Linked DNA regions of Oryzias latipes. The protein of the gene in region 1 binds, or shares a complex with, the protein of each later gene. Links are inferred from orthologs where the notes say so. Each region holds a gene or a part of one and is shown on either strand. Other genes may lie near its edges.

Region 1 (2,556 bases):
ACGCCCTTGTTTTCATGATACGCTTCTATGGCAACCACTCTCACCAATTAGGAGTAAGCTTGTTAGAAGACCACACCCTTACCACTGAAAGCAGGCTTGGGAGAATCTGTCAATCAAATGCTTCGACCGTTCAATGTGGAACCACCCACTCTTATTAAGTCATGTGATTGGTCAGTTTATAACTTGAAAAAGTTGCGCTACAACAAAAATATGGGAAAAAAATAGGATTGTCAAGAAAATGTTTTAAAAAAAATTTTACAGACAAAGAAGGATTATTTGGACCAACAGAATGACTGAGTAACAGCTTTTCATTTTAGATTCTTGGAGTCAGAAGCTACTTCCTGTTTGGAACGCCAGGGGGAGGGGCCACTCAGTCTAGTTCTCTAATTGGCTACAGACCTTGTCAATGAATCTCCTCTGTGTTGTGTCTTCTGGACAGAAAGTGTTCAGTTTTGCCAAATTTTCATAAATATTTAATCGCGATCAGATCTTTGTTTTTATTCTGAAATCCTGGTCTCTCTTTTTTTCTATTTTTAGAGCGTATCCCCCCGGGATACATGAGGGAAGGCTGTACTGTAAATGTTATGACCTTGACTTTTAAATCTTAAAGTTCTAGTTTCATGTTCCTCGTCTTTAACACTGCAGGAGAGAATGACTGCATGGCTGGTGTCTGTGAAGCTGTCCTTTGACAAAAGAGGATCCAAAGTGTTTGCAAGGGGATGGAGCACAGAAAATGTCATAAAGATGCTGAACATGGGCTCTGATGTCACCAAACCTTTTGAATATCTCTTGGCTACTGGAAACCTAAATTCTAAGACGGGTGCATATCCACACTCTTTATATATATATTTTTAAACTTCAATAGTTGCTTTGTTCTAAATGTTTTCTTTCACAGGTCTCGGCATGCTGCAGAACTCGGGCCTCTGCGTTGTCGCTGACAAGCTGAACTTCATCCGCTACCTTTCTCACTTCCGCTGTGTGCACAGAGGAGCAGCGTTCGCCAAGATGAGGACCACCTCAGTCCGTAAGCTGCTGCCCGAGTCCTGGGGCTTCCTGTGTCCCGTCCACACTCCAGACGGAGAGCCTTGTGGACTCATGAACCACATGACTGCCAGCTGTGAGGTGGTGGCAGCATCCAGTCCCACCACGTCGCTGCCTGCACTGCTCTGTTCCCTCGGTAAGCTCCAAACATTTTTACAAAGTGCACATTGCTCCTCAGCGGCTGAAAATGGAAATGGTCCTGTTTTCGGTGTGTGAGGTGTTACTCCGGTGGATGGTACTCCTGCTCAGGCCTTCTCTGACTGCTACCCTGTGGTGTTGGATGGCTCTGTTGTTGGCTGGGTGGAGACCGACTTGGCTCCAGCTGTTGTTGATGCAATGCGGAGGTTCAAGGTACGAGAAGGATGTTAGACAAGTAGTGACCTTGGAAGCAGAAACCTGATGACTAACGTGTGTGCAGGTGCTGAGGGAGAGGAAGGTTCCTCCCTGGACTGAGATCGTCCTGGTTCCTAAAACTGGAAAAGCCAGCTTGTATCCAGGTCTGTTCCTCTTCACAACACCTTGCCGGATGATGCGGCCCGTTCAAAACCTGGCTCTTGGCAAACAGGAGTTCATTGGCACCTTTGAGCAGGTATATGTTTAGCTGGTGCACGTTGAAAGACATTCTTGCCATCGAGACGGTCATCGGAGGACAGCTGTCCAAGTAAAACGGGTTTACTTTTCTGCCGTAGCTTTACACCAATGTTGGAATTTTAGAAGAGGAGATTGAAGCAGGAGTTACCACACACCAGGAGCTCTTCCCTCACAGTATGCTGAGCGTGGTGGCAAACTTCATCCCTTTCTCAGACCACAACCAGAGTCCTAGAAACATGTACCAGTGTCAGATGGGTAAGTGGGTGGGATCAGAAATGTTCATTGAAGGCTAACACCAATTTGGAGTCCAAAGTCCTGAAATTGTTGACCCTAAACTGTTTGTTTCAGGTAAACAAACGATGGGCTTCCCTCTACACTCGTTTATGGATCGCTCGGACAATAAGCTGTACCGACTACAGACGCCACAGAGCGCCCTCGTCAGGCCCTACATGTACGATCACTACAATCTGGACAACTATCCAAGCGGCACAAACGCCATCGTCGCCGTCATATCCTACACCGGCTACGACATGGAAGATGCTATGGTGAATTCAACACAATAGTTTTTACATTTCTACAGATGGGATTTGATCATCTTTTGAGCTATTTTCAAAGCATTCCCAGTAGGGATGCTACTCCATTCTGATCATCCTCTTACAGATAGATCCATGAACGTCTTTATTTTCCTCGTCTGAGCTGGAATCTGGCTCTAAACTGTACGGCTGGATAGCTCTGATATTGGTCGACATTTTTGTTTCTCTGATAATGTTAGTTAGGGGTTGTGACGGGAATTGGTTTGCCTGAGATGGTGTAAACAAAGGCATGATGGGAAATGGAGGAAGGGTCACTCTATGCCAGCGGTCCCGCCCACAACTTCAGGGTGAATTTCTGATGAACTCCTGCTGGTCTTTGGTTTTTAGATTT
Region 2 (3,756 bases), on another chromosome or scaffold:
TATGTGTGATGAGAGAGTTCTGCCCTCTTTGGTGAACACATCTGTCCAGAACACGGAGAGTTCTGCAGCTGCAGCTTTGTTTTGTCGATGATTAAGTCTGAAAAAAAGCACAAAACAATTTGTTTACTCAGTACTTTCACATCTCTTTGTGCCAAATGATTCAATGCATCATCTCTCACCACCAAATCAGCCCAATTTCAAAGTATTTAGAGATGCAAATACTTTGCTAAATCTTTTAGATTTCTCCTGCATTTCTATGATTTGAACCTTTTCAGTCTGAGTGTACAAAGTGAGACATGAACTCATGAGCTTCTGCACGGGTCCAGAATCCACCACTCCACCTCTCCCATCCCTTCCCAAGACTGACGACCTGCCTCACCTTGGACCTTCTTCTCCCATGAAAGCTGGTGGGAGTCTTCCTCTTTCTTCATCCAAAGTCAGTCAGTGGGTCGTTCTGTGTTTTTCCAGGTTTCTGCTGGTGAACAATGACAGAGGTTAGATCTGCCGCAGAAACACCAGCAGGTTCATCATCACAGCATCATCGGAGAAATCTCCTCTCAGCTTCTTCACTCCTGGTACTTTGCTGGATCTCATTTCCATTTAAATCTCTGCACACATTTTAGTTTTCTGTGGAAACAATATTCCTATTATTAAAAATGTTCTGATTCAAAAGAAGTTTATTCTTGATATTTTCTTTTCAATTCTACTTTTATTGCAAATAAACGTTCCCTGTAAAAACAAAATCATCTCCGCCTGCAAACTTTGTATTAAATATGTTCTTTCCTTTTCCTTTTTCACTAAAACACACGTAACAACGTGAGTTCACTTCTTCACAAATACATTAATCTCTTTTAGACACTTGAAATAATGCAAACTATTTATTTGTCTTAAAATAATGGAAAACCGGCAGTTATTTGAAGGAATTGGAACGAATCCGGCTCTCTGATTGGACACAGCAAAGTTTGATACTAGAAATTGGAACAATTCTGGCCATTTGATTGATTGAGAAGTTGGAACACTCTGATCAGGCCCGTCGGAGGAAGACTTCCTCTCGCCGTGCAGAAGCTCCCGAGTTCGCGGCCCGCTGTGCGCGGTTGCAGCATAAAGATCCTCTGCTGCTGATTCTTCTAAAGAAACAAACAACTGGAAGGGATTCACTTCTTCTCTCAACAGAAAGAACCTGTAAATGGATGAAAACCATGAACGCGTGAGGTCATCGATTGATCGATTCACAGACATTCATTAAAGGTGGAAATCAATGTTTTTACTGTGTTTGTCTTTAAAAACCTCATTTCTTAGTTTATTGTTTTATTTATTTAAGTAATGATTTTATAGTGTGTGTGTGTGTGTGGGGGGGGTCCATTTATAGATAAACAAAATCCTACTTGTGCTTTCTTTATTGTTTTTTAAATTCCTAAACTTTTTCAAGAGAGATTTTCTTTTTCGGACGTTCCCTGAATGTCTCGGACTAGTCACCTACTGGACTCCAGCGTGAAAGGTTCGGATCAGAACCGCTCTGGGTTCGGCTTTTGTGCTTCCGTGTCCTACTTCTCCCGAACAACCTGAGTCCAAACGACGGTGAGGAGCAGAATTCTGCTTTCTGAGCTTCACACATGCGACAATCATGAGAAGACGAGCAGCTCATGCGTGGCGGTTAAGATCAAAGAAATTGTTCAAAGCTTTTAGGGAAACGAAAGACGACGGCCGCCGTGTTTGCTCAATTAGTTCACTTTCTGGAGTGATTTAAGTCGATATTACGAGATTATAACTACTGCTTTCGTGAGATAACGGAATAGATGTGTTGCTCGTCTTGTCGAAAACACAGTTTAATGATGTGTTATTAGTAGAAAACAAAAACAAATTTAATTGTTGCTAACGTTCAAAGCTCTAATCTAAATAAATGGCGGATTTGAAAGTAGTTTCTGGCCCGCTAATTTCACCAAATTTCCATTCCGTTCCAGTAAATAACGTTAAACTTCTTATTTATTGCTGACTGTGGGTGTTTGTCGTCAATTTCTCTGCATTTGGACGGCCAGAAAGCGCGTAGAAAAGGTCCAGTTATTTGATCATTTGATCACTGTTTTTTTAGGACTACGGCAGTTGTCCTAAAGCGAGGTGATAAGGACACGTCTACAACTTGGGTGACTCCAACACGCTGGTTCACTCTAAGAAAAGCAGTAATAAAGTAATAGTATGGATTTATGTGGAGTTTGTTTGAACAATAGTGAGTACTTGTAATGTTTTAGAGGTTATTTATGTTGACTTACTGAGAAACTGCTATTGTTTGTCTGGGGTGTTTTGGTGTACTTTATTGACGGTCCCCGTCTGCCTCTGTAGCTTCACATCGAAGTAAACTCAGGCTGTGACTCGTTTTCTGCTTCACCACAGACACAAATAAAAAGTTTACACTAGTCAATAGAACTATATCCAACGTCATGTTTGTGGATAAAGTTAGTATGAAAAAAACAAAGCAGACCGGTGACCGGATGTGTCTGTGACACGAACACATTCTCAACTTCTAATTGCAGCTCATCTTATATGTTTGATGAGCAAATGAAGTTATTTGCCTTTATAGTTCTTGAAATACTGGAACAAAATTCCACAGAATAAATATAATGAAGATCCACCGTTTCTTTATTTTAGTTGAATGCAACGCTTCCATGTAATGAATCTCCAGGTGGAGCGGTGAAACAGCGGCACCATGTGGCAGATCTACAGCAGGTATTTTCTGCATTAAACATGACTGTATCTTTGTGTTTAGAAACAGGATTTTTGAAGTAGAATTTTACCTCACAGATGCTCACAATGTATTTAAAGAATTTCAGAGGCAGCATATTGGAGAAAAAGCAGGAAATGGTCAGAATTTAGTTCAACCAGGAGCCGACAGGCTCTCAACAGGGAAGCAAGCCACTCAGGATCGTCTCCGCACCAATGAAAGTGTATAATCCTGGTCTTTGATGGGTTCTTCTTATTGAATTTAGGTCCATGTGAGTTCTGTTCGTCCTGTTGCTGGAAGCAGAAGCACAGACTCTCGTCTCTGAGCTGATCTTTCTGCAGCGAGTCGTCGCTTTGGCTTCCTGCTTGAAGGCAGCAGCAGAATGACGTCAGTCTGACGCGATCAGACCAGTTTTCTCTTTCTCCACACAGATCCTTGTCTGAAAGAGTCTCCACCCCTGTGTGTGTAACCATCAGCACATGGGGGTTGGTTGGAGCTGCGGTGGGGGTTGGTAAAGGTCCTCCTGGAGGGGTGTTGACTCGACCTTTTGTTCTGGCGCTTCCGGGAAACCAGTCGCACTCGTCTGACGTGACAAAACCCCCCTTCTTTTCCCAGAATCCTTCCAAGAAGTCTCTCACAAAGTCAGAAAAAATGTAATTTTAATCTGATTTAAGCATTTAAGTCAAACTTTGAATGGAGATGGTGAACCTGAGACGATCCTGTGTCATGGGAGAAACAGAGGATCTTTTTTGGTGTTTTGTCTTAATTGTGGTTCCCTTTAAAGTCCACTGTGTTCCCTCAGATCACACCTCATGCTTGAGAAGAGTAGCAGAGGGGAGGGTTTAAAAAGCACTCCGAGACATTGGCTCATTGCACTAGTTCTCTAGTGCATATACTAAAATTGGAACGATACAGAGAAGATTAGCATGGCCCCTGCGCAAGGATGACACGCAAATTCGTGAAGCGTTCCTCATTTTCTCTTTTAAAAAACAATTTCACCTAACTTTGTGTCATTGTTTTAATAAAAATAGCCCTTAATA
Region 3 (3,756 bases), on another chromosome or scaffold:
CTAAAAAAAAAGAAGAAGAAAATTGCAGAATTTAGAGGAAAAATTATGTTCAAAAGAGGACAAGGGCTCGTTTTAACACACCTTTAGATAATGTTTAAATCCTGAATGCTTCATCCGTTCATATATGACATTGTAGTCATCCATCGTAGATTTGGGATGATGGTGAAGGATCTCAGTGCTGATTCTCCAAACAAGCTACAAGAAGATATTAAATTTACCTTCTTTTTAAGATACACACATTTGGTGAAGACGCAAAAGCAAACTTGCCTCTTTGTATTGCTGTGCTGTGAGATTAACTCTGTCCTCTAATATTTGTGCATAGCTGGCCATGTACTCTGCTGCCTCCAGCCACCTGTGATGAAGCATGGCTTCTCTGATGTACTCCAGGCACAGTCTGACGCTCTGGTGAAATCCATTTTCGTGCAGAGTCTCTGAAATTATTTAAGTAAAACTTACAAATTAATGAGTTCCAAACAAAAATATCATTTTTTGGCTAATGTAGAATAATTCAGCCAATTAGGGTTTGTTTATTATTGCAATAAAATGTAGATGACATATGTTTTCATGATAAGTATAATCTTTTCAGTGATTTCTGAAGATGTTTACTTAAAAAATACCGTTTTAATGACAATCTGTATGGTGTTATCTGACATATGCTCATAAACCCATATTTTTTTAAAGAGAATTAGAGGGGAAAACGCACTTTTATGGAATATAAAGTGTGTCTTACTTTGACAAATTGGTTGGATCAAATCTAACTTGAATGAGCTTCCTTCTTTTCTAGAGCTGTTGTCACAGGAGTCATCAGCATCATCATCATCATTCTCCATGTCTTCACGAGGGTTCAGTTCTTTCTCCAGGTCGTCCATGTTTGGCTAAAAGTTATGGCTCTTCAACCTACGAGGAGAAAAACAATGAGAGACAGTAAAGCAAAAAGTAGCAAACAGGTCCTTTGACATTACAATTTTTCTGTTTTATGAACATTTTAAAAATCACAAAGATGCTCTTCTAGAACTAAATAACGTGTCACTTATGACCAACTGTCTGCAGATTTTTAGGTGTACAACACAATCATAACTACAGGGGTTGACATAGCCCAGAAATTTGCACTGGCCCACAGGGCCAGTAGTTTTTGAAACTTACTGGCCCTGCCTGAAAGTTACTGGCCCGACACCGCGCATAGCGGGACCCGCCGCTCCGCAGGTGCTTGCAACTTTAGGGGGGTCCGGGGGCATGCCCCCCCGGAAACTTTTAATATGGTGCAATTTGGTGCATTCTGGTGACATCACTTATTTCTACACTTTTCAATGACTGAAAATAGACCATATCAAACTTAAATCTGCTCTAGTCTGTTTCAGATGTTTTGAAGAGAGCACTGCAGTGTAGTAGGTAACACTAGTTCAGAAGTTTTCATGGTGCTTCTAACGGCAAATATCACAATAAATCATAAACCTTAAATGTGTTAAAACAATCTAATGGCAGCTTGAACCATTTAACGAATCAAGTAAATCCCTTAATGCATTTGACCAATCGGATGGACGCCTTCACATTGTTGACCAATCAGATGGAGCCCTGTTATGTTAGATGTTTGTAACCTATGTCAACGTGGGTCATTTGGAGTATAATTTTTAAACTGGGAATGGTTATTTGGTTATTTTTCTGTTTGTTTATATACCGCAAATTATATCGTTATCGCAATTTTAATCTCTGATATCGCATATCGCGAGTTTTCCTCATATTGTGCAGGTCTAACTGAGATCATTCAGCTAACTAGAAATACTTACTGCTTACAGTAAGTATTTCTACTTTAAGTAAAATTAAGTAGTTTAACATTCTACTGCATTTGAGTCTGAGATTCAGGTATTTGGAGTTGCCTTTGATTCTTTGACATTCAGCTTAAAGCTTAGTGCATACAGTTTCATCTTCAATGCATTCATTAAATATCTTGCTGTCCATAGTACTAATTCCACCCATTACTCCATCTAACATATTCCTATCTATTCCTGCCATGTCTTCCACATCTCTGACATGCTTCAGTCTCTCTTCAGTGACGGTGTCGGATTTATAATCAAATGTAATAATAACCCACTGGCTTGTGCCTTCGTTGTTGCTGTTTAACATTGTTTTGTATTGAATTGTTACATTCAATAAAGTTTGAAAAAAAAAGTAGTGAGCGCGTGCCGCGTGGTGCTCCGCAGTGAAAGCCGCGCGCGCGCAGGCGGGAGAGAAGGAGAAGTGATCAAAGGTTTCCCATAGAAACCTTTGAAGTCTGAACACAGGACTAGCAGAAAAACTAAATTATGAAGACGAGGTAAATCTACACGTTTTCGCAAAATTTACTTTATTGAAAAAGGTGAAGAATATATAAACAGTTAGATATTTTAGTGGCCCGAGCGGACAAGTGAAAAGTAAAGTCTTGTGGTCCGCACTGCTCGAAAAACAGGACCGGGCCAGCGGACAAATGGCTATGTCGAGCCCTGAACTAGTAGCTGACATTTGATTTGCTTACCTGGCCAGACTAGCCCCACTGAGGCTCACTGTGTTGAAGTTACCCTACTCGAAAATAAGCGTCAAATTAGGATGAAATTAAGGTCTTATCTTACGGAAATAGGTTTTACCTAAATGGTGTCTAAATAAAAGAGTATGCTTGGCACTAAATTGATATTTCTGATTTAAATAACAAAAAAAAACGTAATTCTTGCTACACATGTGAGATGTTTGTAGCCACCACACTTCCGGTGCAGCTCAGGAAGTAGATTGTGAATCTGTCTTGCTATTGGCTGAATCAACCCAAGGAGGCGGGGCGGAGCAGGGGGTTTCCTCCACGTGACTTTTCACGGTCTCAGAGTTCCTTACTTAATCAATAATAATAAACTACTTACTAAAATATAAGGCAAAGAAAGAGCCAAAATTGTAACTACTGCAAAAAGATTTGCCAAATATTTTTTTTGAAGAAGTAAATGGGCTTCGATCTCTTTTTCCCTCTTCTCTCTTCGGAAATACAGTAGTGTGTACTTGTTGACAGTATTTGTAAATGTATCCACTACTTGTGCTAAGAGCAAAAAATGCATTTTAAATCACAAAGTAAGAAAGCTACAGTGTTAGCAAGATTTATTTATTCTCTCAAAACCTATTTTTTATTTTAGTCAATGTTTTGTTTTACTGAAATTTTTATTATTTTGAAATTGAAGAAACATATACATGTAAGTTTTCTAAAAAAAAATAAATAAAACTAATATTAATAGAACACGTAAAAATTATTTTGAGTTGATATTTTTACAATGTCACGGTATGAAGCTTATTTTTAACCATGTCATTTTTTAAACCTAGTAGTAATTATTTATCTTTACTTTCAATATAAGGAAGTCTTCTACAATGTTTTTCAGTGAGTTATTTTACTATTTCCTCGTAATTGCGTTACTTTTGCTCAGAAAATAATGTTCAGTGGTTTGTTATTGGAGCTAAGTGAGTAATTTGAATGTGGCCACACACACAAACACATTAGAGAATGAGGTCGTGCTTTCCAGTCTTCGTGTTTATTCTGGTGTGGACCTGAGGCTGATTCTCAGGTACCTGAATCCGCCTCATCCATCGATGCGAACCCGTCCGGGCCTCCACCCAGCCGGATCTTAACTGCTGACGTGTCAGCTCCTGCGTCCCACTGCTCATGCTCCGGCGGCGGCGGAGTCAAGTCCGGCTACACTAACTGCCAACATGGCAGCAAAACATTTTTACCGTCTAGGCTTTTTATTATTA

The links. The genes of interacting proteins can lie anywhere in the genome.
Region 2: the proteins of polr1b (region 1) and polr2k are in contact, whole or in part, in a cryo-EM structure (PDB 7OBA), measured with the Homo sapiens proteins. The link is inferred for Oryzias latipes from reciprocal best matches to the Homo sapiens genes POLR1B and POLR2K. Residues at the interface, in NP_061887.2 of Homo sapiens: Val87, Ile92, Cys93, Lys94, Glu95, Val98, Ala101, Glu102, Gly105, Arg106, His159, His160, Gln704, Asp705, Val793, Phe794, Gln805, Asp808, Asp809, Asp810, Leu812, Pro813, Phe814, Ile815, Gly816, Ala817, Lys818, Leu831, Val848, Asn851; in NP_005025.1 of Homo sapiens: Met15, Tyr17, Gly20, Glu21, Ser30, Arg31, Asp32, Pro33, Ile34, Arg35, Cys39, Gly40, Tyr41, Arg42, Ile43, Met44, Tyr45, Lys46, Lys47, Arg48, Arg51, Val53, Val54, Phe55.
Region 3: polr1b (region 1) and taf1a share a complex: the UniProt entries of both Homo sapiens proteins name them as parts of the pol I pre-initiation complex. The link is inferred for Oryzias latipes from reciprocal best matches to the Homo sapiens genes POLR1B and TAF1A.

What each region holds. Positions count from the first base shown.
Region 1 is NC_019873.2:3,647,184-3,649,739, reverse strand, and holds part of polr1b (DNA-directed RNA polymerase I subunit RPA2), read left to right. Parts: intron 1-645; coding exon 646-820; intron 821-895; coding exon 896-1,177; intron 1,178-1,258; coding exon 1,259-1,392; intron 1,393-1,459; coding exon 1,460-1,630; intron 1,631-1,730; coding exon 1,731-1,887; intron 1,888-1,980; coding exon 1,981-2,177; intron 2,178-2,556. UniProt on the Homo sapiens protein: Catalytic core component of RNA polymerase I (Pol I), a DNA-dependent RNA polymerase which synthesizes ribosomal RNA precursors using the four ribonucleoside triphosphates as substrates.
Region 2 is NC_019869.2:7,013,699-7,017,454, forward strand, and holds the start of polr2k (DNA-directed RNA polymerases I, II, and III subunit RPABC4), read left to right. Parts: upstream 1-1,464; 5' UTR 1,465-1,578; intron 1,579-2,643; 5' UTR 2,644-2,721; intron 2,722-2,804; exon of another isoform or gene 2,805-3,284; intron 3,285-3,588; exon of another isoform or gene 3,589-3,694; intron 3,695-3,756. UniProt on the Homo sapiens protein: DNA-dependent RNA polymerase catalyzes the transcription of DNA into RNA using the four ribonucleoside triphosphates as substrates.
Region 3 is NC_019882.2:5,957,928-5,961,683, reverse strand, and holds the start of taf1a (TATA box-binding protein-associated factor RNA polymerase I subunit A), read right to left. Parts: upstream 2,752-3,756; 5' UTR 2,510-2,751; intron 898-2,509; 5' UTR 870-897; coding exon 731-869; intron 432-730; coding exon 268-431; intron 196-267; coding exon 82-195; intron 1-81. Other genes in the region: mia3 (transport and Golgi organization protein 1 homolog), read left to right, coding at 3,715-3,756. UniProt on the Homo sapiens protein: Component of the transcription factor SL1/TIF-IB complex, which is involved in the assembly of the PIC (pre-initiation complex) during RNA polymerase I-dependent transcription.